Alligator mississippiensis: one gene and its partners. The protein of the gene in region 3 binds, or shares a complex with, the protein of the main gene of each other region. Links are inferred from orthologs where the notes say so. Each region holds a gene or a part of one and is shown on either strand. Other genes may lie near its edges. The genes, in order: RSU1, PARVA and LIMS1.

Region 1 (9,795 bases), on a different chromosome or scaffold from region 3:
TTCCCCTTGGTTGTGGAAGGACATGCTGGGAGTTGTAAATGGTGGATGCTCCAGGGGCTCCACCTCCCCGACACTCCTGCCATGTACCAGCCTGTTGGGATGGTCAGATGTTGGTCAGTCTGACCCTTTGTTGTGTGCCGTAGCCCCCCAGCATCCCCAATCTCACACTCTTGACCTCGGAGGTCAGGTGCTGTGATGATTTAGTTGGCTACCTCTTTCCTATTGGCTGTGGTCTGCAGCTCATCAGCCATGGACCTGGCGACAGTTCAACACCCCCGCCCCGATGGGGCTTCGTGGGTATTGGGTCGACCCTAATGGTGGATTGGCCCTGTTATGTCGAGAGTGTCTGAGGAGCCCTGGGGTGCTCAGCCCCCAACATTAATCCTCTGGCCTTTTCTCCCAGCCTACAGGGCATCAATATGAAGACAAAAGAAAGTTCAAACTTAAACTTCAGGAAGGGCCTGGGGCCTCCTCCCTATTCATGCGTCCTGCATCTGAAGGTGCCAGTCATCCCTTGGTGTGATCCCAGGTCTCAGCTCACTCCCTGGGCCCAGTGCTGAGTGCTCCTTCATTGGGGAATGGACCCCTGGCCTTTCCCCTCAGGAACAGGAGGGTTCCTGGTCAGCCCAAGGGCCTGCCAGAGTGAGGGACTCACAGCCTCCTCTCTGCTGAGTTCTCCCTGCCCTTTCCCTACTACTGGCTTTTATCATGCCTGGGCGGCATCTTCTGATGTTGTCATCCTCCTGCGCTGGTTCCAGCCATATAGTAAAATGACTGATGAACCATGCAGGAGGCTTGTTCCTCTGCAGCTTGCCCTCACTTGCTGCCTCTGAAAAAAGCAAATACACCCTGCTCAAGGCGCTGTTTCCTTGAGGTTGCGGTGGGCTATCCCCACCATGACCCTGATTAGGGGAGAGGGGTTTCTGCCCCTCTCTTTTCATCCCCCTGGGACAGAGATGTTGGGAAATGGCTTCAATGGTACAGTCAAGGAATTAGAATCTCAATTCAGAAGCTCTTGAAAGTGCTTCTTTCACTCTGCATTTATGGTGGAGTTGTCTTTAAAGAGCATTGTTCCATCCTTAGACCTGAGAGAGATGGCTTTGTCTGCTTGGCTGATAGATAGCTTTGATTGTGCTGAAGAAACTATGCTGACCATGGTTTGGGGTAAACTTTTGCATCTCTTTTGCTTTGTCCTCCCACCACTTGTTCTTTCACTCTTGAATTTTTATTTGGTCTCAGCTTTAATTCTAATATAATAAAAGCCTTAGTCTGTCTGTCCATAATGCTTTATTCACACTCTGATTTGTTGTCTTGGCAGCCAATCACAATGCTGACTGAAACAACCAATCAGAGTACTCCAAAAGTGTTCTGGACAGGAGGTGGTGGTGGCACAGCAGAGCGCCGCCATGATGGTGGGGGCAGAGGGAACAGAGGAAATGGAGTGGCGGGGGGCAGGCCTTGGTCCTGTACCCCCTGCTCCCTGGAGGTGGTGGTGGCATGGGGTGCTGGCCAAGGAGGACAGAGAGGACGGTGGGGCAAGCTTCCTCCCCACCGGCTCCTGGGAGGCGGTGGTGGAGTGGGGTGGTGGGTGGCAGCACTCTGTCCCTGCCTGCCCCCCATTCCTGATGGACAGTTGGCTAGTGTGGCAATAAAGGTCTTGCTTCTGTGTGGAGTTCATGTCATTTCACCAAGCTTCAAAAACTTGCTTTTTTTCTGTCAATGACAGCTTGTATTCTCATCAAACCAGTCCTGATGTTCCTTTGTGGAGAAGCCTAAAGATTCTTTGCATGTTTCATGGATACCTTTCTTGAGGCTCTTCCAGTGATTGATGGCATGAAGATGATCAGGGAGGTTGGATAGTTTCTCGCTGAGGCACTGCTGAAGATGATTGCTCTTTGAAAGGTCTTTCAAGCACTCAATAGTGAACCTTTTCTTTGGTTCATGTCATTTTGGGGTGATATGGACATGAAAGTGTATCAAATAATGATCCATCTCAGCAGTCATCTGTTTTGGTCATAGTTCTGGTGATACGGACCTTGTGACAGTTCTGGGCACACTCTATGACGTAGTCAATCAGGTGTCAGTGTTCTGAGCTAGGGTGCATTCATAATGTCTTTCATCTGTTGCTTTAGTGGAATAAGGAGATTGTGATGATGAGAGTATGTTCCTAAAACTAGCTCAGGAGAAGAATTACATTTGAATTGACTTCCTTTCCAAGTGTTCCTTTCCATTGCTCAGAGTCCATCCTCACTTTAGCATTGAAATCATCAAAAATTATTGTCTCTCTTCTGGGGACAAATGACAGGACTTGGTCAAATTTAGAACAGAATTCTTGTTTTTGTTTCATCATCTGCATCAAGTGCTGGGGCTCAGGTAGTGATGACTGTTGCATGTTGTCTGTTAGTCAATTGAAGAGGAAGGGTTATGAGATGCTCATTGATGCCAACCAGACATTTCAGTATCTGAGTAACAATCTTGGTCTTAATAGCAAAACCAATTCTATAGAGGGGTCTGTGTTTTTGGCTTTTCCTTTTCAAAAAGAACGGTGTAGCCATCACCATGCTCTGTAAGCTGCCCCTCCCTTGCACATCTGGTCTCATTAAGAGCGGTGACATCGATATCAAATTGTGCAAGTTCTCTGACCACAAGTTCTGTCCTTTGTTACAGTTGGTCGCTGTTAGAGTTGTCCATTAGGGTGCGGATGTTCCAGGTATAGGCCTGCTCAGTCAGACTGGAGCTGCCAGTTTGCACACCTATCTCAGTTCCAAGTTCAATATGACAATCATGGACTCCACACAGGTCTGTAACTAGGAACTTCCATTAATCAATAGTTCCTGTCCCTGTCACCACTCTCCCATCGCCATTGGATATGCTGTTGAAGGACAATGCCTGCATGTGTTTTCTTTTAACATGATGTTGTTGTATATCAGCAACCACAAGATACTTTGCAGATAGAAATCTTTAATCTGACAGCAAGGAAACCTAGGAGGCCAACTATTTCTATTTCACCACAGCCTTCATTCAATTTGCAGTGACTGTGAAGTATTCTTTATTCATCTGCCTGCTCTACCATCAAAGACTTTTATTTTTATTTTTGGATCCTAATCACCATTCTACAGAATCATTTTTAGTTACTTTCTCTTTGGCTTACTTGACAATTTCAATATTCCTATAAAGCAGAATAGCTTCAACTGGACCCAGATGATATGTCCAATTCAATGAGATGGCCTTTTGGGTTCTTGGCAGAACCATTTAGAGCAAGGGTTGGCAACATTTTGCAGTGGGGGTTGCATTAAAGGAACTTAGCTCTAAGTGTGGGATGCTTCCAACTTGGCCCGCTCTCCTTTCCTATAGGTTTGAGGACATTCTTAACAGCGCACATGGAGCGGTGAGTTGTGATGACTTCCATTTTGCTTAGCATTACTGCCTGGAGAATCAGTTTCTCATTGTTTTAGATGCTGTATATGTAACACAAGCCATCTTAAAAACAAAAGCCAGTGTTTTTGAGGCTGTGAACTCACTTCCAGGGTCATGACCCAATTAGGTCATCTTGTGACGACACCCAACTCCACTTGCAGTCCAAGCCCATGTGCAGTAACTGAATTTATATGGGCCCAAATGGGATTGTGGCCCCTAGATTAGGAACCACTAGTCTAGTGTTTAGGATGTCAGGTTAGGTCAGAGCTGACCCAGGTATGACCTCAGCCAAATTTTATATTAGGTATTTACTGGAGCAGGAACTAGAACTCAGGTCTCCACTTTCAACCTCCAGGTGAAAGTCGCAATCATTATACTAGAGTTCTGGTCACCTAAATTCATATCTTACATGTTTGTGCTGGGTTCTTTAACCTCTGAATACTTGAATAAAAAGGAATTCCTGCAGCTGTGTTTTGATGTTGAAACAGGGTTTATTTAGGTACACAGGTCCTCCAAAAAAGGTTTAGGGAAATGGAAAAAGGACAAAAACAACAAGTCATTAGTGTGAGGACACTTTAAACAGAATAACCACCTCACCTCTGGCCTAACAGTTAGTATCCGAAGGAAAATTTAAGCAAAACCTTTCAGAAGATGGGAGGAAAATAGCATAACTTTGCCAGACACACAAAACTGCAGACTTAACATAGGTGATGGTTTTATGACTGATCACACTTAACCTGTCCCTCTAACCTCTCTGTGCTCCACAAGTAATAGCTGGTCTCAACTTTTGAGTGGTCATAGTATTTTACAGAATTACATTCATCTTTCTCAAACATTCTTTACCTGATGTGCAACTATTGTAATTTCTCTCCATTTCACAAGTTTCCTGTGCAAGTCACTCCTGTCATTTACATAATAAGGTTAAACAAAAGTATTTAGCTCAGGCTGTATCTGCTTCTTTCCCAGGTGTCAGAAAAAGAACATCATGCTTGAAAATTTGTCTGAAATCTCCCCCCGAAATAGCTGTTGCCATTGTTCTAAACAACTGTAGCCTTTAAAGAGAAAATGATAGAAAAATATTTGGGGTGGATCCAAGGTGGATGCAGTGGTGCAGTCACACCCACTTCTGATTCCTGCTTTACCCAAACCAACTGCCTGGCCCTGGCGGCCTTGTTTCTATTAAGGCAGCAGCAAGGGAGTCACTTGACTTCATGGCTCGCTATAATCTACCTAATTCCTTCTGATCACTTCATTCCACAACTGTTAATAACTTTCTCTTTTCTTAAATGGTATTAATGTTCCACTCATCAAGCTGTCCTTTCTTCAGCCATTCTGCTGCCATAGCTGCTCCTGGTTACGTAGCTCCTATTTGACAGTCCTGCTGTCTGTTTTTAACTCTAGATAAAAACGTTAACTCAGGTTTGGAGATAACTCTTACTAAAGCAGTGGATGCACTGCCAAGATGCTCAGGAAGGCTAGATTTTGCTTTATGAATCTGCAAGGTGATTTAATTCTAACAACAGAACTGATGAAGCAACATCTTTTGAGTGTCTTTTGCCTAGTTTGTTGTGGTTTTAATCTCTATTATTATGTAGCAAATGAATGCACAGTCTAATAAAATTATACTTGTTTTTGTATTAACTGAATAGTATAGCCCCAGGCTCTATTGTTAGTAAAGCTAGTTTCTTTTTAACCGGAGAAAAGCATGTTTTGTTACATGTGACCATGCACCGCACCACCACCCCCTCTCTTCCAAATCCTGGACCTCCGCTGAGTACTCCTGAGAGCAGAGGTGCAAAGGCAAAGCAAGTGCCATTTACTGGAGCTGGCCCAGTAAACCTTCTCATGGGAAGGGGCAGGAGCCTCCTCAGCATGAAGGCGGGTTGGTGGTTAGGGCGCATTTTCAGCAGGGGGAAGCTGACTCTGCCCAGAGCGGGATCCCGCTGGTCCCAGAACCCCGTCTGACTGCAGGACAAGGGCCAGCCCGGGGGACGCCACCCCCAGCCCGAGCTGACATCTGCAGGTCCCTCCCTCCGGGCGGGGGCCGGCTCCCTGGCCGGGCGCTGCCATTGGGCAGCTGGGCTCCCGGGCCGAACTTTCCAGCCAATGGGCGCCGGGCGGAGGTGGAGCTGCGGCTCTGATTGGCCAGTCGGGAGCGGTGCATTCCATGACAGTGGGAGCAGCACCGGCCTGGAGCGATTCGCCTAATATGGAGCTTGGAGCGGTTCGCCGCCTCCGCCGCCACTCCCGGGTGTGGGGGCCGCTGCGCATGCGCGGGGTGGGGCGGGGCCTGGCGTGCATCGCACTAGGGCAGCGTTGCGAGACGTGACCCCCGAGCCCGGTGAGTGCAGCGCGGGGCGTTCGCGCGAGGGGCTGTGGGGTCGGGCCGTCCCGTCCCGTCCCGTCCCGTCCCGTCCCGTCCCGTCTCGTCTCGTCTCGTGACGCGCGTGTGCTTCGCCCGCAGGCCATGTCCAAGTCGCTGAAGAAGCTGGTGGAGGAGAGCCGGGACAAGAGCCAGCCCGAGCTCGACCTGTGCGACCGTGGCGTCTCCAACATGCTGGACGTCCCCGGCCTGTGTAGGTACCGCCGCGCTCGGCTGGGCCCTCGGGGCGGCCCAGGCCTGTCCTCCTCCCCCAGGGCGGGTTCCAGTGGGAGGCCCAAGTTTTGTGCCCTTTAAAAAAGAGCCCACAGAGGCGCGGCCCCTGCAGCCACTGAGCCAGTGCCTTCCTGGTCTTCAGGGCCCATCCCACACCCAGGTTGCTCCATCTGTCCGAGACTTGGCGCGCTCAAACTCGGGGACGATGTAAAAGCCTGTGCACGAGTCCCCTTAAAAATCTACGTCTTCAACCTGTCCTGTGCTGACTGCTCCCTTCTCTTGGCTTATTGAATTGTATTTTTACGTGTCTGACATAGCAGTCCTAAATTGGAGAAAATACCCAGTGGCTTCTGGTAAAGTGAAGGGAAGTGCCGGGAATCACTTGGCGTCGGGATTTTGAGTCGCTTGGTGCATGGTCCATCTTGTATTTGCAGTCCCCAAAACATGGTTAAAACTACATTGTTAAAGCTCCAGCTCTGATTTGGGCTGCCTTGTACAACTGTTTGTCTTAACTCAAAGCATAGGAGCAGTATCGCTGACTTCAGTTTGGAAATGTTCCAGTGGGTGCATTGATTTCAATGGGAGCAACTTTTATGGGCTTGACCTGAGTTTGGCAAGTACTGAACCAGGATCTAAATGTACAGTATGTAGTTCTGTTTCTGCAAAGGCTTCCAGCCATCTTTTTTGATCATGGAAGGCTTCATGTTGGGTTCTGAGTTAGAGCCCGATTCTGTATTTCATAACCTAGTGAATTGCTAGGGTGAACTACACTGCCCATTAGGTTTCTTATAACTACTGTACTTATAAAAAGGGAATTGCTCATTGCTTTCTCATCACTATGTTTTGTAATATGTATTGAATGAACACATTGTAATGGGTATGTGTTGTATCAACTTTACAGTTCATTGCTTTTGGAGTTAAAAGGTGTTTCTGAGCTTTCTGCTGTGAACCATGGTGCTAAAGAAAAATAACTTGGGCCATGAGCAATGTAAGCCCAATGCTATTAGTAGCAGCAGTGCTGTGTTTCTGCAAAGAAGCTCTGTAGGTGTAGGGGTCTCCCTGTCTGTCTTTTGCACTAACACTGGTTGGTACTAGAAGAGTTCAGATGATCTAAAAGTCAGAATTGAATTGTTCATAGTAGGACAGGCCAGTTAGTCTCTAATTGGTTATCCTGTCCTACTATGAACAATTCAGTGCAGCCAGGCTGGGCTGCACTAGCAGGGAGAGCTCCTGTCGACCTGCTCTGTGGCCCACTGGTGTTGGCCCCGGGACACCGGTGTGGGCCCTGTGCACCTTTATGCTCCCAGTGCCCCCCAGCCCCACGGTACAGGCCGGGGGCAGCGCACAGCCCCCACCCCCTGCTCGCCAGCAGGGAAGGAGCTGGTGCTGAGCACGGGGAAAAGTGGCCCCTCCTTGTGGCTGGCGCTCCCCACTGCAGCTGCTCGTTGCCTGGGCAGGGCTGTCCTGAGCAGGCACAGGCAGCCCTATGCAGGCTGCAAGCCGCTGTAGTGCGAGGCGGGCAAGGGGCCACTTTTCCCCCATGCTTAGCACCAGCTTGGGCTCCTGGCTTACCCGTTGGGGCTGCGCACAGCGGCAGCAGCTGCAGCACACCCCCCCCCCACTCCCCCGCTTGCCGCGCTGGGCAATGTTTGCCACTGCCTGTGGGCTGCCCAGCGCGTGAGCTCTGGATGGGCAACAGCAACAAACACTGCCCAGTGCAGCAAAAGCAGGGTGGGGGCTGCAGCTGCTGCCAACATGCGCAGCCCTGACGGGCGAGCCCAGAGCCAGCATGGGGCCCAGGCTGGCAGTGGGTGTGGGTTACAAGCTGGAGCTGAGCGCAGGGGAAAAGCGGCTCTTTGGCTGCCCTATGGTCGGTGCCGTACTCTGCAGCCACACACAGCCTGCTTGGGGCTGCCTGTGCCTACTCAGGACAGCCCCATGTGGGCTGCGAGTGGCTGCAGCAGGGAGCGATGGCCACAGGGTGGGGGAGGGGCCGCTTTCCTCCAAGCTCCTTCCCTGCCTGGGGTCCCCCCACCGCCCACTTGAGGTTCCGGCTGGTGCAGCCACATGGTCCCAGGTCAGAAGCCCTGCTGGTGCTTCCAGCTGTGGGGAGGCAGGGCCAGGCTTCCCCTGGGTCCTAAGACCCTCGTTTCTGTCATTTTTGACAGGAACCAAGGACAGATCAATATTCATTTTCTAAATATTTTTTTAGGGGCCCCACAGGTCGGATAGAATGGCCTGACATGCTGTATTTTGCCCACCCCTGATCTAAGGGGTCAGTGCTTTCCATGTTTTCCTAGTAAATCAGTAAGGAAGTGGAGCTGGTTGACCCATTTCTGGATCTCTGTGTGGTCACTTCCTAACCTGGTCCTTTTCATAATATAAGGATACTTGATATCTGTATTTTCCTCAGCTAGCTGCTGAAACCTTTCCCTGCAACCTTAGTTGCTTTCCAAAGATAAGGCCACACCTCCAATCCTATTTTCAAAGTCTAGTAAACTACCAGTGTGCTACATGTTGAGAGCATCCAGGCAAGGGATTTATGCAGAATAGTTAGTGCATTGGAAATTCACTGCAAAGTAAGGCAATATGAGAATTTCCTACAGAAACGCTCTAGGTTAAGTGAATTATACAGTAGAACCCAAATACTTTGCAGGGTTAAGTTCCTTATCTTATTTCCCCGTATTGCACTTGAAAATAAAGGTTGTGAATTACTTGATAAATTAGAGAGCTGTAGCACATAGTGACACAGGACCCTTGAGGTGATCCAGCTATATATGATGGGGATTTTATTTCATAGGGTTCCTCTTCTCAGACTAGCTGCATGGGACCATTGATGAGCTCCATATAAGTGGAGAAGTGGCACCCTTTTGAAGTAAAAACAGCAGCAAACTTTTGAGTGGCTCCTCTAATTCAGCACCCAGCTGTGAATGAGATGGGTTGCAAATCACCCAGATCTAAATGAGCAGAATTCTACTCCATCAAAACGTTGGCAGTAACACATCTGTAGCATCTTCCCTTGGCTTATATAGTAACCTTGCCTTTGAGTATAGGCCCATTTTTGTGTGGAAGCTATTACGAAAATGATCTCTCCTTTTATAAACTGATATTTCATTTTGGACTTGAAGGAAACTTCTCTCAATTTAATATTTGAAGCTTATGTGCTGAATTATTAGGAAGATACAGTATTAACTAGGGATAAAATATATCCTTCATTGTTTTGAGCACCAAAAATCTGTAGAGAATAAGAGAAAGTATCTTAAGGCCCTTGGTACACATTACATTTAAGACATGATTAACCAGTTAATCACATCATAAGTAGTTACTTGGCCACTTGTTAATGCAGCTACTGTATTTACTTGATTAGAAGATAACCCTGAATGTAAGATGGCCCCTTAGTAATTAAAATTTCACATATAGAAAACTTTATAAATTTTGTTATAATTTTCCAGGTAAAGAATTTAATTCCTGGAGGTTTGCCTTGAATTTGTCCCCTTCCCACTGCTACAGCAGGGAAAATAAATCTGGAGGGTCAGGTAGCCCCATCACAATTTTCTTCCTGCCAGCTTCTTCCCCCTCCAGCCTCTTTCGAGCCCCCTCCACTCTTTACTATCAGACCCTGTTTTTTTTCCTGAGCAGGTGAAAGTGAAGAGCAAATTTGAAATGCTGACCTTGAAATTACATAAAGCTGTAGTTACTTCCATATTGTACCGATTGACTTGGTTCATCTAGAATTGATGTATGTTACTTGTTTTGAAACTGCTGCAAGTTTTAGCACAGGT
Region 2 (9,769 bases), on a different chromosome or scaffold from region 3:
CTCTGCACCAGAATGCAGGTCCACCTGCAGCTGTCCCACGCTTGCTGTGTAGCCCTGAGCAGCCCTGACATGCTAATGCCTTGCCCCTGCCCATGCTGGTGCTCCTCTCTCCCAAGCCACAGTCCCCCCCCCCCCACCCTGCTAGTGCCCCTGAGTCCTGTGTTTTGTCATCCCCCAGCCATGGGAAGCCTGGCAGCAGGCAAAGCAGGTGGGAAGGAGAAAAGGAGGTAGATGCAGCAGGGGTCATCTATGGGGCAGGTGAGGTGTGTCCCAGCTGCCTTTTAGCCCCTGCCAAGAAGGGACTACTGCCGCCCACCGGCTGCCCCCATGTGAGTTGCCACTTGCCAACCCACTGCTACTACTTGCCACTTGCCAACCCACTCTACTACTACTGCCCCAGTGCTCCCAGGCACTCACTGTTCAAATGGTTCCAGATGACAGCAGCGGGAGCAGTGCAGCACAGACCATCAGAGTGGAGCTGCTCCTGACAACTGCAAGCTCATTCAGAGCCACCTAGCCACCCCCATCTCCCCTGCCCACTGTATGTTACCCACGGTCACTGACACCTGTCCCTGCTGCAGATCCTGGAGCCCCTCTGCCAGGATGTACTGCGCTAGCTCAACCCATTTACTACTGGTCCCAAGTGCTTTTACATGCCTGCCACCACCATCTGAAACCATCTGGGCAGTGAGTGCCAGGAGCAGCAGGATAGGGGTAGTGGGGTGAGGACTGCAGTGGGCCACATGGGGGGAGTGGGCAGGTGGCAGTGGTCCCCATCTGGTGGGGGCTAACTGATGGCTGGGTCAGACCCCACCTGGCCCCCTGGGTGGCCCCTGCTTTTTCTCCCTCCCACTTCCCCTCCTCCTCCTCTATCCCACTAGCCCTGCCCTATCACTAGGATTCCCTTCCTTGCAAGGCCAGTCGGTGGGCCCTGAAACATATGAAATCAGGCCCAGGGGCTGCAAGGGAACCAGAAAATTACTGGCCCCCACGTTCCCACTTGCAACCCCCTGCCCCTCCCCAGCTGTACTGGAGGAGGCCCCCAGCCCCTGTCTTCAGGCCCCGTCCCCTCAGGCTCTTTTTACCCGAAAGGCTGCAGGAGGCAAAGTGAATCTGAGCCAGCTCTGGCTGGTCTCAAATTGTTAGGCCCCATCCCCTTCCCCTACCCCTCTGGACAGGGCTTAGGGTTTGCATCCTTTTTGCAAGCAGCTTGTTGTAGGCTGGAACTCTGCCAGCCTGCAGAAAGCTGTTTCCAAAAGGGGAAACCCATGTTTTCTCACTTAAAAGTGGAAAATCTGTGTTTTTCTCTTTTAAAGAGGTAAGTCCATGTGTTTCTACAAGAAACAGAAAACCTTGATCCTTGGTTATGACAGACCTTAAAGTTCGCTTCTTCTGCACCTGTGCTCCCCTCGGCCCCGTATACCTTGGAAAACTTAAGGTGCATTGATATCTTTATCATATGGGCACACTGGAAGGCATTTTTAGAGAAATTGCACCAAGACTTTAACTTCCATCTGTCCATCAAACTGAGTCTGGAATACTGTACCCAGCCAATTAATTTCCTGAACACCACAGTGAAAGTTTGCAATGACCATATCACTACCACAGTGTATTGCACAACCAGCAACCAGTTTACTGTTAGGAAGGGAACAGTTGCAGGCCAAAACTAAGTGTTTTTGACAATCTTACCCTTAAGAATCAGAAGAGTATTTGATCCAAAGACATTTGAATCAAAATTTTAGTTAGAAAAAAGATTCCGAGTTCTAATCTAAGATCAGTCACTAATTTACTGCATGACCTCAGTCCATCTCAACAGTTTGACAATTCAATTGAACAAATGCAGGAAAGCAGCAAAAACCATATGTAACATCAGAGCTGATCTTTCTCATGAATCAATAATTTCAGGTTATAGGTTGTCTTATTAGTTCTGCTGCATCAGTTCTCTTTCTTATTGGCTCTATACCATGGTAGGTATATAACGTATTCTACCCCTCTGAGTTACTTTGGAAAGCATCTCAGACAAAATCTTTCTTTGTTGTCATCTTATGCAATTCTAACATGAATCACTCTGAGTGATATGACACTGTGGTTAAATCAATAAAACAGTGGTATGAATGACTACCCCTGAAAAATGTGTGTGTACCTGTAGGGAAAAAAACAACCCCACACCATATTATTGTAATTGTATTTATGGTTAATAATTTACGTCAATAAAAGCTGGGAGTGTATGCAATTATAGCGTGGCTTCTTATAAACATTAAGATATCCTTTACTGTGGGGATGTGCGCTTCAGAATCCACTGCAGGATGCAAAATCTGCCTCGGTGGGTGCCACAGAATCTGGTGACCTGCATTTGCCAAATTTTGCTCCTCATCCCACCTCTGGTATCTTTATAAAATCCTATGTTTACATCCAGATGCAGCCAGGTGAGCATAAATCAGGGGTGGGCAAAATGCAGCCGGGGGCCAGATGTGACCCACCAGTCCATTCTATCTGGCCCGTGGGGCCCCTAAAAAATTTAGAAAATTAATATTTATCTGCCCTGGGCTGCCTGTCATGTGGCCCTCGATGGCTTGCCAAAACTCAGTAAGCAGCCCTCTACCCAAAATAATTGCCTGCCCCTGGCATAAATGGATCCCTTTTCACAAAACTATTCTACTTGTAAATGCCTATGGCACAGTTGCATGCATATACAATAGGTAGATATGACATTTGTTTCTCCTTCCTTTAAAAAAGTTTCTATATTCCTAAAAAAAAAAAATCTGTTCAAAGCAGCTGGTGACCTGATCCAAACAGTGTGTAAATAAATAAAACTTGTAAATATACAGAGTTTATTTAGTAGCATGTGAAACTGTAGACCATGCAAGTAACTGTTCAAAATGACAAATGCAGCGAGAGCAAATATAAAGAAATGTGGTATTCTACCAGCCTTCTAGTCCACTTTTCTGTTAAAAGAATGGCACTGTATGGTTGATTAATGTTAGTCTCTAGAGCATGTACAAACAACGTACAGTAAATATTTGTTGATGCCTCCCTCTCATCAGATACCTGTTACTGATTTGTAAAAACACAACAATTATTAACTGATTTAGAAATATCCTCATGGTAATTTCATTTCACTTACTATGCCTAATGGATAGCCAGATATTTGCATGAAGTGTGTGTGGCTTTTTGCTTAAATTGTTAATCGAGTGATTAAACGGTAAGTGAAAGTAGCACATCCGTAAGACATTAATGCTGTTCCAGTCCTGGGCCTCTCCTGAATCAACTGTCAATCATGGTAAATTGTGTGCCTCTGACATACTTTTCTTCTAAGCTACTTGTTTGCAAATCTAATAGGAGAACTGGAAAACGATGTTGTTCCTCACCAGGAACATGTTTCATTTTTCATGTAAGTTTGTCCTGTCACTAAGGTTTTTTTTTTTCTTTTCTTTCCTACTAACCCGTACATTGCCATCTTGTCATTCTCATACGATTACAAAGTAATCACATATACATATATGTTGATGGGTGCTACAGAAATGTGGTGGTAGATGGAATTTTGCTTATCTGAGATTACATTTGGAAACCTAAATGTTAACCTGAAGAAAAGTCGATGGTATCCTCTTAGTGTTCTTTGCCTTCTTCCTTGGTCATATACGCTGGAAAAATTCATCGAACTGACAGAATTCGTTTCACAATTTCCTAATCTGAGCTTCGTTCCCACAAACGTGTATGCATGTGCTTCAGTTTTGGTACCCAAGTAGTTCTATTGATTTAGGTTAATCCCACGTGCAAAGTTCAGTATCTCTATGGGGATGAAAGATTGGGGCTTTAGTTTGTGGCCCAGAACCTATAGCAAGGGATGCAGCATACAAATATAAATGGGATAAAACAGAATCTTCAATTGTGACTGAAGAGCACTTGCAGGATTGGGAAGCTTGGAGTTGTGCGGAGTGGGAGGGGATGTAGAGCCAGGGCAGTTGGCTTTTAGCTGCCTTTATCTATCTTGAGCCAATCTTGATGCTGGTCCAGTCCCCACTGTAAATCAAAGAAGCCCGATGGCTTTTGTAATGTAAATAAGTTACTAGCAATGCCAAGACCACAGGGCCGCAATTTTACCTTGTCCCTATATATGCGGACTGGAAAAGCAGGTGCTTCTTTATATAGGCGCTGACTCCATGGGTGCTCTGGGGCTCAAGCACCCATCAAAAAAAACTGGCAGGTTCTCAGCACCCACAAGCCCCACACAGCTGTTTTGGTTTTACATGTTAGATCTCTGTGGCTGCTTGTGGATGTTAAAAAACCCAACCAAACTGCACTTTACTGGAAGAAGCAGTGCATTACTTCAACCTGGCTCTGCAGTGTCTGTAAAGATTGGGTGCTTCAGCGGGGCTTTTAGGCAATTTTAGCTAAAGCTTATTCAATAAGCTATTAGATAAAAGCCCCCAAAAAGCCCCAATAAGCACCTGATCTTTACCTCAACCCAGCTCGCCCAATGCCTGTAACGTGCTGTCTCTTCTAGGCGTGCGCAGGGCTCGGTGTGGGAATGCAAAAAAAACCAAACCACCCACGGCAAAAACCAAAGTCAGCGCTTATGCTTATTTACACCTTCCCTCACTACAGTGGTCACTGACCTATGGCCTAGGCCCAGCTTTGGACAACTTAGGTAAAAAGAGGATACTAAGGGGGTTGCACACCCTATATGTAATCTATTTCTATTAGAAAATTCTATTCCAAGACTACTGAAAGTCTGCCAGGTGTGAAAGTCTGCCACTGCTGTCCCAACCACCGTATACCTCAGCATATTATAAAGCCAGTGGTACTACTGTCTGATCCACTAGGAAACAAATGCCTAGCCCCCTCTAAGTTATGAGGAACATGGTTGCTTTCTTATTTGTAACGGGTCAAAAGCTTCACAAAGGCCCCTCCTACCCATTACATATATTGTGAAATCCACTACTTAATCATGGCATAAATTCAAACTAGCCGCACACGCGAAGTAAGATGGGCCACAAGTGCAAAGTACTGACCCCACAAGTAACTGGTTAATCGTGCCGCCAATTTAGACCAGTCATTTGTGGACTGGGCAGTGTCCGCTGGCTCCTTGGACTCGCTTGAGGGCTGGTCCAGTGTGCTCTGCTCTGTGTTGCGCCCTTGGCACTCTTCTTTTGAACCTGTGACCAGCATGCCAATCCCCGTTTCTTTAATTATGATTTGTCCCAAGCCTGTCAGCACCTTTTCCTGTAGCCTGGCTGCCCAAGGGAGGCCAGTAAGAAACTTGGTGGGCCAGGCTCATGAGATCAAAGGTGACAAACTGCGCTGTGCAAAATAACAATTGCAGGGTAAAAATGACGGTCCAGCTATAGAAAGAGCCAACCCACAGTAAAATCAAGGCTTGAAAACACAGAGCAGCTCTTTAGTCCAGGTTTAATTTGAGGCAGGGCCCGAAGAAGCACAGGCCAGGGGGGCTGGGGGTGGCTTCTGCCTGGATCAGAGGGGCAGTAGATCAGGCAGGATCCGGGATCTTGTTTCGGGACTGCGAAGATCTCCTTCCAGCGCCAGACAGCCGCCTGTGGCACAAGCAATCCCGGCCTAACGCCCAGCCCAGCCCGGCAGCGGGGGCGACAGGGGCTGCGGGGCAGGTGCGGAGAGAGCAGCGCGCGCGGCGGCGACAGCGGCCTTCCGTGGCCGGGCGGCGGCGGGCGGGCGGGAGGGAGGGAAGGAAGGAGGGAGAGCAGGAGCTGCCTCAAATGCTTGAAATAATTCCGCTTCCGTTTGGAGCAGGGCAGCCAGCCGCTCGCTACATCTGGGCGCCCGGCCTACCTCCCCTCACGTCGGGCGCTGGACCGGGCTGTTTCGCCCCGCGCCCCGCTCATGGCAACGTCCCCTCAGAAGTCGCCCTCGGCGCCCAAGTCCCCCACGCCCAAGTCTCCTCCTTCTCGCAAGAAAGATGACTCCTTCTTGGGCAAACTCGGAGGCACTTTGGCCAGGAGGAAAAAAGCCAAGGAAGGTAAAAAAACCAAAAAAACAAAACAGGCGGCGGGGCACAGCCCCGCCGGGCTGTGACCCGCAGCCCCCCGGGGCGCGGGGCTGCGGGTTGCCCCGCGTCACGCCACAAAAATGCTGGGGCGCGCGGGCTCCTCGGCGGCTGCCTGCGGGCCCTCCGGCGGGCGTGGCAAGGCGCATCGCCACGACCGGGGCAGGGGCAGGGGCAGGGGCAGGGGCGAGGAGGCTCCACCCCCCACCCCGCGCGGCCTGCAGGCAGGGCGCCCACCGCGGCCCAGGGCGCTCCTCGGAGCAGCACGTGGGCGTGCGGCGGGGCGGGGCGGGGTGGGGCGGGGCCGCCAGGCGTTCTAGAACCGCGGTTCTCTCCGGGACAGTGGGGGAGGGGTGCTTGGCAGAAGAGGGGCAGATGGTGATGAAAGGGTTAAGGGGGGGAGGCAAGGGTTTCTTGGTGTGAGATCTTTTATTGGACCCGCCGTGGAGTTGGGTTAAAGTTAGACAAGTTTTCCGGTGTCAGACGCTCTTCCTCAGGTCAAGGTGCCCTGCAGTGCTGCAAGCTTCCCGTTGCAGTCACCTCTTCCTGATGGATTTGGGCAGGGCTGGGACCCTGACGCAGAGTGAGAGCTTGGTAACTGCATCGTCTTCAATCAGCGGTTCCCAACCTTTTTTTTGCAGTAACCCGCTGCTGGGAGCAGAGCGTGGTGGCGGCAGCCCAAGGGTGGGGACAGGGGAGCTCCTGGCACTAGGTGTGGCTCATCCTCTGTGTGAGGCACCCCCGCCACTGCCCCCACAACCCTTATTTGGGTCGTGACCCGAGGCTGGGAATCACAATCTTAAACCAAACATTTTCCACACAGCAATGAAACCACATGAGAGACTGGGAGTGGTTCAGGGACAACTTGCCAATGCCCATGCTGATTCCTACCATGGAAGGACCCACCTGACAACTAGAGTAGATGGGGAAATTATGGGGCAGACGGCTGTAACAGGTGCCTGGACAGACCTGCAGGTAAGTGATTCTCCTGGGATAGTTAAACCAGGTGAAGTTCATTTCACACTAGCAAGGTAATACTGCTCCATATCAAGCATCTGCTTGGGGACTTTCTTTAGGTCCCTGAGGAAGAATGTCTTGTATTTGAAAGCTTGTCTAACTATATTCCACCTACAGAGTTGGTCCAATAAAAGATACCGCCCAAAGAAATCCTTGCCTCGCATAATTTCTGAACCATCATGGCTACAATATCACTCTTGCACTAGGCTCGATTGTTTTCTTGGACTATAGGACCAGAGCTGGGGGGGTGTAATACTGAATGAAGGGGGCCTCTGTTGAAGTCTTCACAGCAATTTGCTGAAAGACCTGAAGTGCTTCATATAAAGCACCCAAGCAGATCCCTGATATTACTGTGCTAGTGTGAAATGGTTTAACTGTCACAAGAGAATCACTTATCTGCAGGTCTGTCCAGGCACGTTAAAGCCATGTACCCCATCATTTCTGTATTTGCTCGAGTTGTCATATTGGTCCTTCCATGCTAGGAATCAGTATGGGCATTGGCAGGTTAATTCTTGTGGGGAATGTGAGTTAATTCGTGTAGGGCTTATGTTTGGTTTAAGATGAATCAGTTGTCAGGCTCTAACTTGGTGTATGGGACCCAGCCCTGCAGAGTTCCTGCTGGAACATGTGAATACAAAAGGGAGCTTGGAGCACGCGTACCTTGATCTGCAATATGTGCGAATATGACCCGGGTATTTTTTAAAAAGAGATTATGGCATTAATTTAAAAAAACCCAACAAGTTTCAAAGCTCAAGGTATTGTGTCCTCTGCTTATCCTGTCCAGGCAAGTTTTTGCAACACCTAGTACATAGGTGGGTTGATTGGAGAGGTTGATGTAGCATCTAAGCCTTGAGCAGTTAATAAAGGCTGAATATAAAAAAAATCTGATTCAGTTGTTGAATGTAATGTTCTTCCTTCTTGAAAGGTCTGCTCCTCTGTGAATTAACTTTGCCAGTAAGTTGAATACCACTGTCGTTATGCAAAGGGACGCGCAAATTCCAAGTACACAGTAGTCTTTTTTTACCAATATTTTTGCTGATAATTTTCACTAATATTTATCCCCACTTTGATAAAGCAGCCTTGTTCAAAATTATACAAGCATTGTATGCCTGAATCTGTTGCCTAGTTAAAATCAAGCGAGACTGAGAACTGGAGTTTGCCCTCAGTTCAAACATTAAATTTTCGAAACATTGTGAGTGTAAAAGAGATTTCATCAGTGTCCTTGAAGTTAGAAATTGAGCTGTTTACTTCTAAACACTTGTACCAGCAAACTTGAAAGATACGGCATTTACTATTTGTGGGTTATATTGCTTAGAATGGCAAAGATGTGGTCAAGCTGCTTCTGTTGTCATCAAAGTTAAACATCTGGTTTGAAGAAAGTAATTTATTTTTATGTATGTGAGTGGCATCAGTGTGTCTTCTCACTAAGCTGCAGGTGTGGACCCACAACAGGTTTTTGTTGCGTGATGTACATCAGTTTTGTATACCAATGTAATTTATACCCTGCTTTTGTTCAGAAAGTTGACAAACTTCCCTGGAGTAGCAGATGTAACAACTGAACCATACCTAAATGTTATCAACTGGGAACTGGTTCACCATTGTTGCTGCTCAGAAGTCTGCATCTATAGTTCCCTAGCATTCCAGGTAGAATGAGGGAAATGCTTGGACCCATGTTTAGCATTCCCAGGGGCTTGAAGGGCATAATGATGGGCTGCAGTCAAACAGGGAGTAAGGACGCACTAAGCTGTTTATTTAACAAATAGTGCAAGGGAGATTATTGATAAGAAGTGCCAACAAAAGGAAAAATAAAGGAACCGTAGAGTTCTGGCTGCTGAGTGACCGGTTGCAGTGGGGGGGGGAGGGAGGGAAGTAAGGAATTATGTAATATGGGATGCACCTGGTTCACAAGTGTACTAACACATGGTGCACTGATTTTCCAGGTACACTTCTGAGCCATTCCAGGCAGCTTTAAATGTCTGTTTCAGGTTTAAACTACATTTAAACTGTTTTAAATAAGTATTACATGGGTCCATACACAGGTCGGTAGCATAACTAGAGTGTGGCAACCAGGGCAGCTATCCCAGGTGCTGACTTGAGGGGGGTGAAGGGGAGTGGAACAGAAAAAAAACAGTGCCACCACAGCCATATCATTGCATTGGAAGCACAACAGCAGCCAGAAGTTGCTGCTGTCCCCATGTGTTGCAACTGCCCCAGGAGCCTAGCTGTGGTGTTATACCTCCATCAGTGGTGCTCAACCTATGGCCCACAGGCTGGATCCAGTACAAGGAGCTGTCATCTAGCTGTGGGGAGTTCCAGTAGCATCACTTTAGGGAGCAGGGGGAAACAGCAATCCCAAACTCTGCCTTTGAGGGGACAGAAAAATAGCCACTGCCACAGTGACAGGTGACTTCACTGTCACGATTGGCATGGCAGCAGCCAGTGGTGCTCCTTGCCCAGCTGCCCTGCTATGACTGGGGAGCCTCAGGCCAGATGATATGGCCCCACGTGCTGGATCAGGCTGGTGCACAGCGTCAGTCCATGCCTGGATCTTGCATACAGGATCATTCTGTGGGCATGATCCTTCCACAAATTGATCCTGTGTGCCAACCTGGTCTGGCCCATGAACTGGCCCTGCACAACTTATTTGGCCTGTGGGGCTGGATAAGTTGGGCACCACTGCTTGTAGTCTGCTCTTACAGGGTGTATACACACATATGAAGTCCACTTAAAGCG
Region 3 (9,909 bases):
CCTTCTTAACTCTCTGTTATGTCCTTACCCAGTTCTTAGTGTTATCCTTTCTGATGCCCTCCCTCAGCACCAGGAATAATATTCCTATTTTTTTAAAGAATTTGAAGGAAAACTACCAGTTCCTTTTCCCTTTTTCACATCCTTAGTTATCTCTTCAGTTGTTGCCCTATGAATCCTTGATCCATTTTTTCTTACTCAGTTTGCGAACAGGGGAGACACCCCCTGCATTGCTCCTAGGAGACTGCTGTAAATCAGAGGAGTCTGTGAAACTGCTGATTGAAGCTTGGGCCATTTCAGCCCCTGCAGTAGTCTACACAGTCTGTAATCCCAGGGATACATGAATGGTTCATAGTCACCTCTGCCTCCTTCCCTTTTGTACTGTGACAAGCAGGGTAACCTGTCTCTTTGTTTGCAATGTAAACTACTGTGTAATCTTCTCTATCGTGTGTTAGAGTAGTAATACAAGCTTATTTGGGTTTGCAAATTAAAATGTTTCGTGCCGCTCTGCCCATCTGACTCCCACCGTCTTCAGAAGGAATTGTGGAGCAAAGTTTGTGTTCCCTCAAATTCTCAGCATGCAGGGCAGGGCCTGTGTTAATCTCCTAGCTGGTTTTAGTGATAAGACTACAAATGTAAAATAAACGCAGGGAGCTTCTGCTAGAACTCTAGCTAGACTTACAGCTACATGTCTGTTGATTTTACTGGATTTGTTCCTGAATACCAGAGGAAGAGAGAACGGAATCTGGGCCAAGAGGTTTTCAACTGTTTTACATGTGAGGCACCTCTCACTGGACTCAAGGCACCCCTCCGTACCTTTTATGAATTGAATGACACCTCATTTAAAAAACGCATTTATTTTATCACAGGGCTTCCCTTCTTGCAGTGAGGCTGGGTAGCTGGGCAAGGGGAGCAGCTAGACCCAGAGAGCTTGAGCTTGCTCTTACCTGCCTTATTTTCTGGGCTGGGGCACATTGATTGAGCATCACTGTGATTGAACATCACTGGCCTAGAGCTTTCACAGTTGAACACTCAGAGCTTACCTGCCAGAAAGCCATTTTGTTACTGAATGAAGAGGCCTAGGAACTGTAAAAGCATCTAGCATACAAAATGCATCTGACAGCTGGCCAGTTATTCCTTTATAATACAAGCTTGCTGCGCCTTCTGTTCCACTTGAAGATGTGCCTCTGTTATCCATTTGTTTATAACAGTGGAAAGGGAAAATGAGGGCCATGCATCGCTCTCCTCCCCAGATAGGAAAGGGGAAATTCAGGGAGGGGCAGAATGAAGAGACACGTAGGAGCCATTGGTATGAGGAGGGATTGGCTTTTGGGGTCCCACAGGCATACAGGGGGATGGGAAAGTAGCATACAGAGGGCTTCGTGGGCAAGAAAAATAGAGGGAAACAAAGGAATCTTGGCATTTCCAATGAGCTTAGCCTGTAGAAACAACAGGTGTTTATTCTAGTCCATAGGTTGGCAAGCTTTTCAGAGCATCAGGCTGAAATAACACAGCTCAGTTCCAGAAAGGCCAGCACTTCCAAACCAGCCGCCACTGCTACTTTTCTCCACCTCTAAAATGCTTCTGATATCCAGGCTTTACTCTGTGTTAAAACATTTAAATGGGAGGTGCCTTACCAGTACAAATACAGTTTGGCCCTTTTTGTGTGCTTTTGTTTGCACCTTGAACTTATTCCCCTGGATGAATGCTTTACAATCCAGGAGGATTTTTTAAATTCATAAACTGGGAAACTGTAAACCCTAATGGTGCCCAATGGGCACCATGTTAAGACTGTGCGGGCCGGGAGCAGTCCGAGGCCCTTTTTATTCGCGCGGCGGGCTGTGGCCAGCAGCCCGGACACGCCGGGTCGGGGAAGGCAGGTGGCACGCTAGAATTAGGCACAGACGCTTAATGGTTGATTTAAGATTGTTTACTTACACTGTAGATGGTCGTGGTGCAGGCTGGAAAACTTCCAGGAAAACTTCGCTTAAGTCCCAGTTTAAGGACTCGGACAGAGCTCTGGATTCACTCACACGAAGTTTGCTAGGCTCCGTGGAACTTGTGCGCACAGGGAAGGGTATGTCAAGGGATTAGGCGGCGACGGGGAGAGGCGAGAGGCTGATCAGACCCCTATAGCCTTCTTGAAATACACGCTGGGTCCAATAGGCTCCGCAGCGCTTAGAGATCTTCACGAGACGTGAAGTCTCCTCCTCCTGATGTTCGTGGAGTCCTCCAACTTGGGCGGAAACCACTCAAGCCTCTTATATGGCTAGCAAGCCAATCGCTAGCCACCACGTAGGAATAATTTAGAACTGACCAATAGTGGGGCACGAATTTGAATACAAATGGCGGGAACTCCTTGCAACGTGCATTTCTGTGTTGCAACCCTGCAAAGAAAGCTACAAGTGGCGGGAAATAATTCAGCAGTGCCGAAGCACACACAAACAAAAATCACACCCTTGGGTTGTGACAAAGACTACTTCTTGATGCACGCTAGCCCTGGGTTAATGATACAGTATCATGATGAAGCTTCTTTGCCTTCTTAGTTCCACAGGAAGGGCAGGATTAATCAATAAAAGAGTGGCACTAAGGCTTAGTAGAGGAACAGTGTGTGTCAAGATGGCACTAGGACCCTGCTCCCATCATCGCAGTTTCTGTCTGAAGCCACAGGGAGAGGGTTCAGCCTTCACTTGTCCCTACTGCCAAATGCTGCCAAAGCCGCATGTCTGCAGCTTTTGATTGCAGACTCCTGCTCTAACAGATTAAAGTACTTGTAAATGTTCCACAGAAACAGCTACAGATTTTGTCTCCTGTCCATGCACCTGCCACATATTTTGTTTCAAGATTACACTGTGGGGGCGTGGGAACGGGGGAGGAAAAATGTTTGATTCAGACATCATTATATGAAGTACAGGTGGTGCTAAGTCCTGTCTCCATTATACTGGTAAAGTGTCTTTTAAGTACTTTAAAAAAAATCTCACCTCCTTAATTAGTGACAGGTAGCACGTCAGGTTCAGTTTGTGTCTACATGACAGCAATTCTGGCATCAAAGCCATGTTGGAGTGTGTGACCCAGTGCTTCTGCTGAGCCATATGCTAAAGGCATGTCCTGTGACACCCCAGGCTGCAATCCAGTGAGTTTTTAGTCTGTGGCTAGAATGCCTGTAGGACCTGCCCACAGAAAACTGCAAGCTGCACATGGGGGAAGCATGCTCCAGAGCGTCATACAGCCAAGAGAAAGTGGATGTAGGACAGGCGCAAACCAGTTGCACAACATCTCTGTTTGTCCCTTACAGCAAAAACACAGCTTGGTGGCAGAAAAACAGCCAAGTGTCAGACTAGGCCTCTGCTTAGGGTGTCTTGCTGCCATTTTTAACCATACTCAATGTTGCCTCGAACATTATTTAGAGTCAGCCAGCTGTGCCGATGTTATTTTCAACATGGTCAAAAATTGTAGTACAAACAGGGCCTTTCCTTTTTTTTAAAGCCACTGGCATTTCCTAAGAAACAGAAGCTTTATTGGAGTTCCCTTAATATTGTCAGTTTTCTGTGTTTGCGAGCTCAAGTGTTCGTTCCTAGTTAGTCTCTCCCTGATCTCTGCCCTGGCTTTCTCATGCTACACAGTAACAAGCATAGATACCAAAACCACTCCTGTCGACAATGTAACCTGTGCGTGGCTTTACTGTGCATTTTTAACCAGTTGCTAATGAGAGTCTGTTGATTGTGACACATCACTTAGTTACTTGGGCTATCCATTTCAGTTTGAAAGTCCAAAGCTGTTAGAGGTTGGGCCTGTCATCTGTGTCACAGGTATCAGATTTTAACCAGCTAGAGTATGGCAAGAGAGCATAGTTACTGGCTGCCAGTCCTGACTTTATCTGACCTTCCTATGGAACCGAAAGATGCATAATCTCCTGGGGTGAGATAACTACTCTAAGAGGCCTGCCATTGGTAGAACATGGAAAATGATATTGTTTTTAAGAAGAATGTAGCATTAAAATAATATGAAAAAATGGTGTCATTCAGCATCAGGAATTGTCATCCATGTGATAACAGGATGGTTTTCTCTCTTCTCTTCCCTTTTCAGATTTCCAATCTGTATAGGACTTTTTCTATGAGTACAGTGCTGCAAGCACAGCCTGGTAACTGAAAATCAAGTTTGTTATCACTGTTTCTTACATAGTTAACTACACCTTTCTTGGCAATTCTGTTAATGAAAGGAAAATGGAAAAAAAACCCTCTACTTTTCTAGGAAGAAAATTGTTATGGGATCAGAATAATATGGTTGGTAGGAACCACTAAGAAGTCATTTAATCCAGCAATTGGTAGCCTTTTTGTGGTGACAGGCTGGAATAACCTCCACACACTCTACCTAGCTGCAATGCAACATAGCATGAATGAGGCCCTCCTGCTCCATGAATACCACTAGAGTCCTCTTGGATCTATAGGCTCTGCAGAGTAGACTGTAGGTTACCATATCCATTGGCTACAGCCCAGAGACTATAGGATACCAACCCCTGATCTTGGACAGCCCTTTCTGATCAAGGAAGACTCATGACTATTTAAACCAGAGGTGTCAAAGTGATCAGGCTCCATGGGCTGGATGAGTGGCACAGGACCAGTGCATAGGCCAGGTGAATAACTCAGGGCCAGCCCTGCAGGCCAAATGAGTCCCATGCCCTTCCTCACATGCTAGATACAGCAGCTGCTCCAGCCAGTCTGGGATGTGGATCACACACAGCATATGTCCCAAACCGGTTGTGCAGCACAGTCCTAGAGCAAGCGCCACGGCTATTAGATTTGGTGTGTGGCGGGCGGAGGGGTCCTGAACTGGCTGTGTGCGGGTGCTGCTTGTAGTGCAGGTCTCAGAGTGGTCTGCACATGCAATGCATGTCCTACACTGGCTGGAGCAGGCATCGCATTTGGCATGTCTTGGGCCCTACGCATGGGGCCAGTCCAGTGCACACCTCACGTGGTTCAACTCGAGACTCAGGGGCAGGGGCCAGCTGTTGGACCCCATGGGCCATACCTTTGATACCTCGGTTTAAACCATTTTAGCCAAGTGTTTGCCTAACTCTCAGTTAAAAATGTGTGGTGATGAAGGAGATTCCACAACCTCTTTAGGTAGTTTGTTCTAGTGATTAACCACCCTCTTAGTGAGAGAGTTCATCCATCTAAATTTCCCTTGCTGCAGTTTAAGTCCTTGTTGATCTATAATCTCAGACTACTTAACTAAGAATGACTCGTTAGTAGTGCAAAAGGCTATTTTTACAATTTAGTTTGCCAGAAGTTTAAAAACAATCTTCATCTAGTGACAAAATATTTCTTGTATGTTTTTCAGTGTTAGTGTTTTCATGATAAAGTAGCATTGTGGTCATTTTTTTTCTACCTAGTACTTTTTTCCTCTAGTAACTTGATGAGCTTGACAATGAATGTGTTCACTTGCACAGGTTTACTCATAAAATAGCTCTTCTGTGCCTGACTAGAATTCTTCTATCGGCAATAGATAGTGAAGCCCTGATGTACTGTCCAAGTTTGTATTACAACCTTGTAATGGAATGTGTTCCTCAGCTTCCAATGACCCCTTAGTAAATAGCAGCATGACGTTCTAGCTGCTCTGCCGCTGAGCTCTTAACGTGAAGCTCTACCAGAGTGCTCGACAAGCCGAGCTAACTGACATGACACTGTGAAAATAAATCACTTCCCTGGGAACAAGGAGGATTCCTGCGTATTGTTTCTCTGGATTTTTGTCTGCAGCTTCCTTTTGAGTATTACAGTGGATTTTTCATAATAGTTAACGAAGGATGGAATTCCAAAGCAGAGCTCGCTCCTATCTGATTCCAGAGACTGAAGACGCTCCACACAAGGTCCCTCAGGATGCCTACAATATCAGAGGAAATGAAGGCGAAAAACCAGTGTCAAAATTACAGCGTAGGCACAGTGAAATAAAAGTATACAAAGAGTTTTGTGACTTTTACGCAAGATCGTAAGTTCACTTGCTCAGCATTTGGATGTTATTTGACAGATCACCTTTTAACATCTGTAGTTGTCTTTACTCGTTTTATTTTGTATAGAATAGGATTGATCCATTCTCTAGTGCAATTCCACTTGTTGTGATTGATTAATTGGTAGTTTTCATCCCCACGTGATTTTTTTAATGAACTATTTTGCACTTGCAAATCAAATTATGTGTGTGAGACTTGGATATTAGTTTGTACAAATTTTGGGGGAAAAGGTACAAATGATCTTACTGGTACCATAACTTTCTATTTATTACATTTTGGTGGATAATTATTGATTACCATAACAAATAGTAAGCTTATGTTGCCATTAGGAAATTTTGACATTTCTCAAAGTAAAGTGAATTAAGTATTTGAGAGTTCTGCAGGGAGAAAAGAAAGCTTTGAGGGCGAGGAGTTTTTTGTTTGTTTGTTTGTTTCTGGGTTTTTTTGGTTTTGCTAAAAGCTATGCTTTTCGAAGTTTCTTCACCAACTACTTCTGGTTAGATAGTACTTTGTATCCAAGAAATGCTTGAAGTTAAATTCTAAGGTACAATATCTGTTCACCTTTTCTATGCAAAAGCTGTTGAGCTATAGAAAAGGTTGCAAGTTATACTGTGTTCAATATTCACACCAAATCTGGACACTTTTTCAGTAGATAGGGTGTGAAATAACCTGTTTCCCTTTGAAAAAGCACAATAGTTTTGACAGAAGTAGTTTATGAAGAGAGGCAGTTAGCAATACAGCTAGACATTCTTTACGTTTCTTATTTGTGCGTGCGTGCATGCGTGCACACACATGTACATTTGCTTGAAACCCTGTGAGAAATGGAATACTCTTGATCTGATACTCTTGAGGTTTATGTGGAAAATGCAGCTACTGTCACCCTCTTCTGAAAAGAGTTGTAGAATAGAAAAACCAGCAGATTACTAATAACCAGGCAAGTGCTGTTTTAAGCAGGGCTTGCTATTTTTCTGTGGTGTAGTGTTAGGTAGTAGTTCTCAGCTTCAGGACCGAACACAGGCATGGGCGAACCGGGCAGCTGCCCAGGGCCCAGACAAATAGGGGGCTTGAAAATGGTCATTTTTTTATTAATAGTATCATTATCTCTGGCGAAGCGGGGCCTGATACTAAAAGTTCGTGTGGGGCCACCAGGAGTCTATGTACGGTGCTGCTCAACTTCTTCAGATTTGAGGCACCCCTCATTAGACAGCACCCCTCAGAAAATGTTGGTTTTTACTAGTTTTGTGACTATAAAAAATACTAGAGCAATTATTCTGTTGCAAAGAACTCAAAACGACCACAGCAGGATAGAAGGTTTCTGACACGATTGATTCCTATTTGAAATCACTGGTTTTATCTTATGAATCATGTTGGAGCACCTAACAGTGCTAATATCACCCTTTAAAAGATCTCTCAGTTTCCTTGTTGAGACTTACTGGTATAAAGAATATAGTTCCTCAGTTTGGAACCATTTAATAAGAACTGTGTTAATTATTGTTGGCACTCCCTCAATTCAAGGATGATCTCTGCCAAGGCTCATTGATGGGTCTTGAGGTGATTTAGGAGTCTAGTCCTTGAATCACAGATCTGTTCACAATCTGTGTTAATGTAATACCATGAACCGACGCAAGTTTTGTACAGAGGAAGTCAGTTGGAGTTGAGGACACTAATACCTGTAAAGTAATACTCAGCATCCAGCCTTTTTGGCAGGCATGCCACAAATTGGCCCTGTGCTGTCCCTGAGTGTGCCTACATGAGGCATTTACTGTAAAGCTGACCAATTAATTCTGCAGTAAATGTCTCTGTGTCTCGACATGCACCCCTGTTAGGATGCAGGAAACTAATATAAACTCTGCAGCAGAGTATTTACAAGTCCTACCCTGCAGCAGTTTTTTGTGCACAGCTGCACATGTGTAGACTCAGACCCAACTGCCTAGGGCATGAGGGTGCTTCAGTGCAGAGGCTGTCTGCTGGCTTGCCCCACACTGGAGCACACTTGTGCCCTATCCAGCCCCTGTGCAACACATTGAGCCTGGTCAGAGCAGCTCCAGGCTGGCAGGCTGACCCCCCTGACTCCCTGCCAGCCGAGGCTGCTCAGACCTGGCTCGGTATGCTGCAGTTTGGGCACGCATCTAAACCACGTGCCAGGGAGCTTCCCAGGAGCAATAAACTTGGAAGCAAAAAACTGCCGAGTTTATTGCTCATGTGTAGATGTACCCCTCTGAGTGCCATTCTAATCCCCATGCTCTGCCTGGTCTGGTGCTCTGTTTTCTGCTCCCTACCTTGTACTTTGCCCAGTCTCCAGCTCTGCTTTCTGTGACTGTGCTGCTTCTCCTCTCCCTGATCTGCCATGAGCCATACACACAGGCCGCCTGTGGCACTTGTGCTGCAGGTTGGCAACCCTTGTTATAGAGGATGTTGCTCTCCCTTTATATGGATGCAACATGACTTCCTGTCAAACACAGAAATCATCTTTTTACTTACTGAAGAATAGAAACAGTTTCTCTTATAAAAATACCTCAGTCAATCATCTTACCAGAAAATTCACATCCCTTAAATGGGTTTTATCTATACTCTATAACTGTTCTGCAAGTGGTTTGCCAAATATTCTTAAATTGATCATTTGCCCTGTATTTGCTCCCCACATAAAGGTACAGGTAGAGAGCTCTGCCTCAAAGACTTTTGTGAATTTAGGTGTAAGCAGGGAAACAGCGTAAAGTCCGAGGGCTTAAAAAAATTAGAGCCAGGTCCCCCAGTTGACAGATATGGAGCAATGCTGATTTATTGCAGTTGAATATTCAAACCTAAAGAGTGAGTTTGGTTTCTGATTTTTGCAGATGTTGCATTAACATTTTATTACAAATGCCTAGGAACCCAGAAGTACCTAGGTTATTTACGTGGGTGGTTTTCAAGTCTCTGATTCAGATTCCATGTAGCTGGAATTATTTTGCAAAATTAATATTTCTTAAGAGCACTCTTCTGTGCATTGGTTATTTCTGCCACAGAAGCTAAGTACTATGAATTCCACTCCTGTGCATTGATGCCCTAGATACTTTGTACTGGTTTTACATGCATTTTAGAGCAATATTCTTGGTTTCATCTCACAGAGGAAAACCAATTTTAAATTAGTGATAAGCTGGGCTCTTGTTTTGCATAACCATTATAATTTTATTTTCATCTTCTGTCTTGTTACAGAAAACTTTACCTGTTTTTTCCCTTCACACAAATCTGCAAATATGCTATTACTAAAGGGCTTGGACGGGGGATGGATTTAAATGACATTTTACTATTTTCTGTCTGTAGAACTGTCTCGGCTCCCATTGAAGTCAATGTATAAAGAGTTAGTTAGCTGTACTAGTCTGAAATCAGGCACATGGCAAGGCATGATGGTGGCACTTTAAACACTATTATTCAGAAAAACTTCAGTGGGAATTGGATAAGGCTAGGTGGCTTTTGAGAAGAAAAAAAGTTAAAATCAAGGGATCTGGAAGTTTTCTTCTTCTTTATCCCTTTCTTTCAGAGAAGCAGTGTAATCTTTTTCCTGTTTTATTTTGCTTTCATTACAGCAATATGGCAAATGCTCTTGCAAATGCCATCTGTGAGCGCTGCAGAGGAGGCTTCGCACCTGCTGAGAAAATCGTTAACAGCAATGGTGAACTGTACCATGAGCAGTGTTTTGTGTGTGCCCAGTGCTTTCAGCAGTTCCCTGAAGGGCTCTTCTATGAGGTAAACAAGTTAAAATATTTTTCTCTTGACTTCCTGGGTTTCCTTTTTAAGGTGTAAATGGAAAATGCACCTGTTCATGTAATGCAAAATGTGGTATCGTTCTTTGAAAATAGATATCCAGAAGAGAGGAGAAGCATTTCTATGCCAATATAGAGAATGTCATTGCAATTTGAGAATGTTAACAT

Evidence for each region.
Region 1: the proteins of LIMS1 (region 3) and RSU1 are in contact, whole or in part, in a crystal structure (PDB 7LT9), measured with the Homo sapiens proteins. The link is inferred for Alligator mississippiensis from reciprocal best matches to the Homo sapiens genes LIMS1 and RSU1. Residues at the interface, in NP_001180417.1 of Homo sapiens: Cys252, Phe253, His254, Cys255, Asn256, Leu267, Asn268, Lys269, Ser279, Thr280, Cys281, Asn282, Thr283, Glu293, Phe294, Asp295, Met296, Lys297, Cys303, Lys306, Phe307, Pro308, Glu310, Leu311, Arg314, Leu315, Lys317, Leu318, Ala319; in NP_036557.1 of Homo sapiens: Asp21, Ser23, Asp24, Gln44, Val46, Ser48, His49, Val67, Asn69, Phe71, Asn72, His90, Asn92, Met95, Glu112, Asp115, Thr117, Tyr118, Arg137, Ala138, Tyr140, Ser142, Asp143, Ile161, Ser163, Arg165, Asp166, Glu184, His186, Gln188.
Region 2: LIMS1 (region 3) and PARVA share a complex: the UniProt entries of both Homo sapiens proteins name them as parts of the heterotrimeric IPP (ILK-PINCH-PARVIN) complex. The link is inferred for Alligator mississippiensis from reciprocal best matches to the Homo sapiens genes LIMS1 and PARVA.

What each region holds. Positions count from the first base shown.
Region 1 is NC_081828.1:180,987,984-180,997,778, reverse strand, and holds the start of RSU1 (ras suppressor protein 1), read left to right. Parts: upstream 1-5,655; 5' UTR 5,656-5,758; intron 5,759-5,881; 5' UTR 5,882-5,884; coding exon 5,885-5,993; intron 5,994-9,795. UniProt on the Homo sapiens protein: Potentially plays a role in the Ras signal transduction pathway. Capable of suppressing v-Ras transformation in vitro.
Region 2 is NC_081825.1:201,149,368-201,159,136, forward strand, and holds the start of PARVA (alpha-parvin), read left to right. Parts: upstream 1-5,762; 5' UTR 5,763-5,856; coding exon 5,857-5,992; intron 5,993-9,769. UniProt on the Homo sapiens protein: Plays a role in sarcomere organization and in smooth muscle cell contraction. Required for normal development of the embryonic cardiovascular system, and for normal septation of the heart outflow tract.
Region 3 is NC_081824.1:349,549,656-349,559,564, forward strand, and holds the start of LIMS1 (LIM and senescent cell antigen-like-containing domain protein 1), read left to right. Parts: upstream 1-5,652; 5' UTR 5,653-5,800; coding exon 5,801-5,982; intron 5,983-9,564; coding exon 9,565-9,724; intron 9,725-9,909. UniProt on the Homo sapiens protein: Within the IPP (ILK-PINCH-PARVIN) complex, binds to F-actin, promoting F-actin bundling, a process required to generate force for actin cytoskeleton reorganization and subsequent dynamic cell adhesion events such as cell spreading and migration.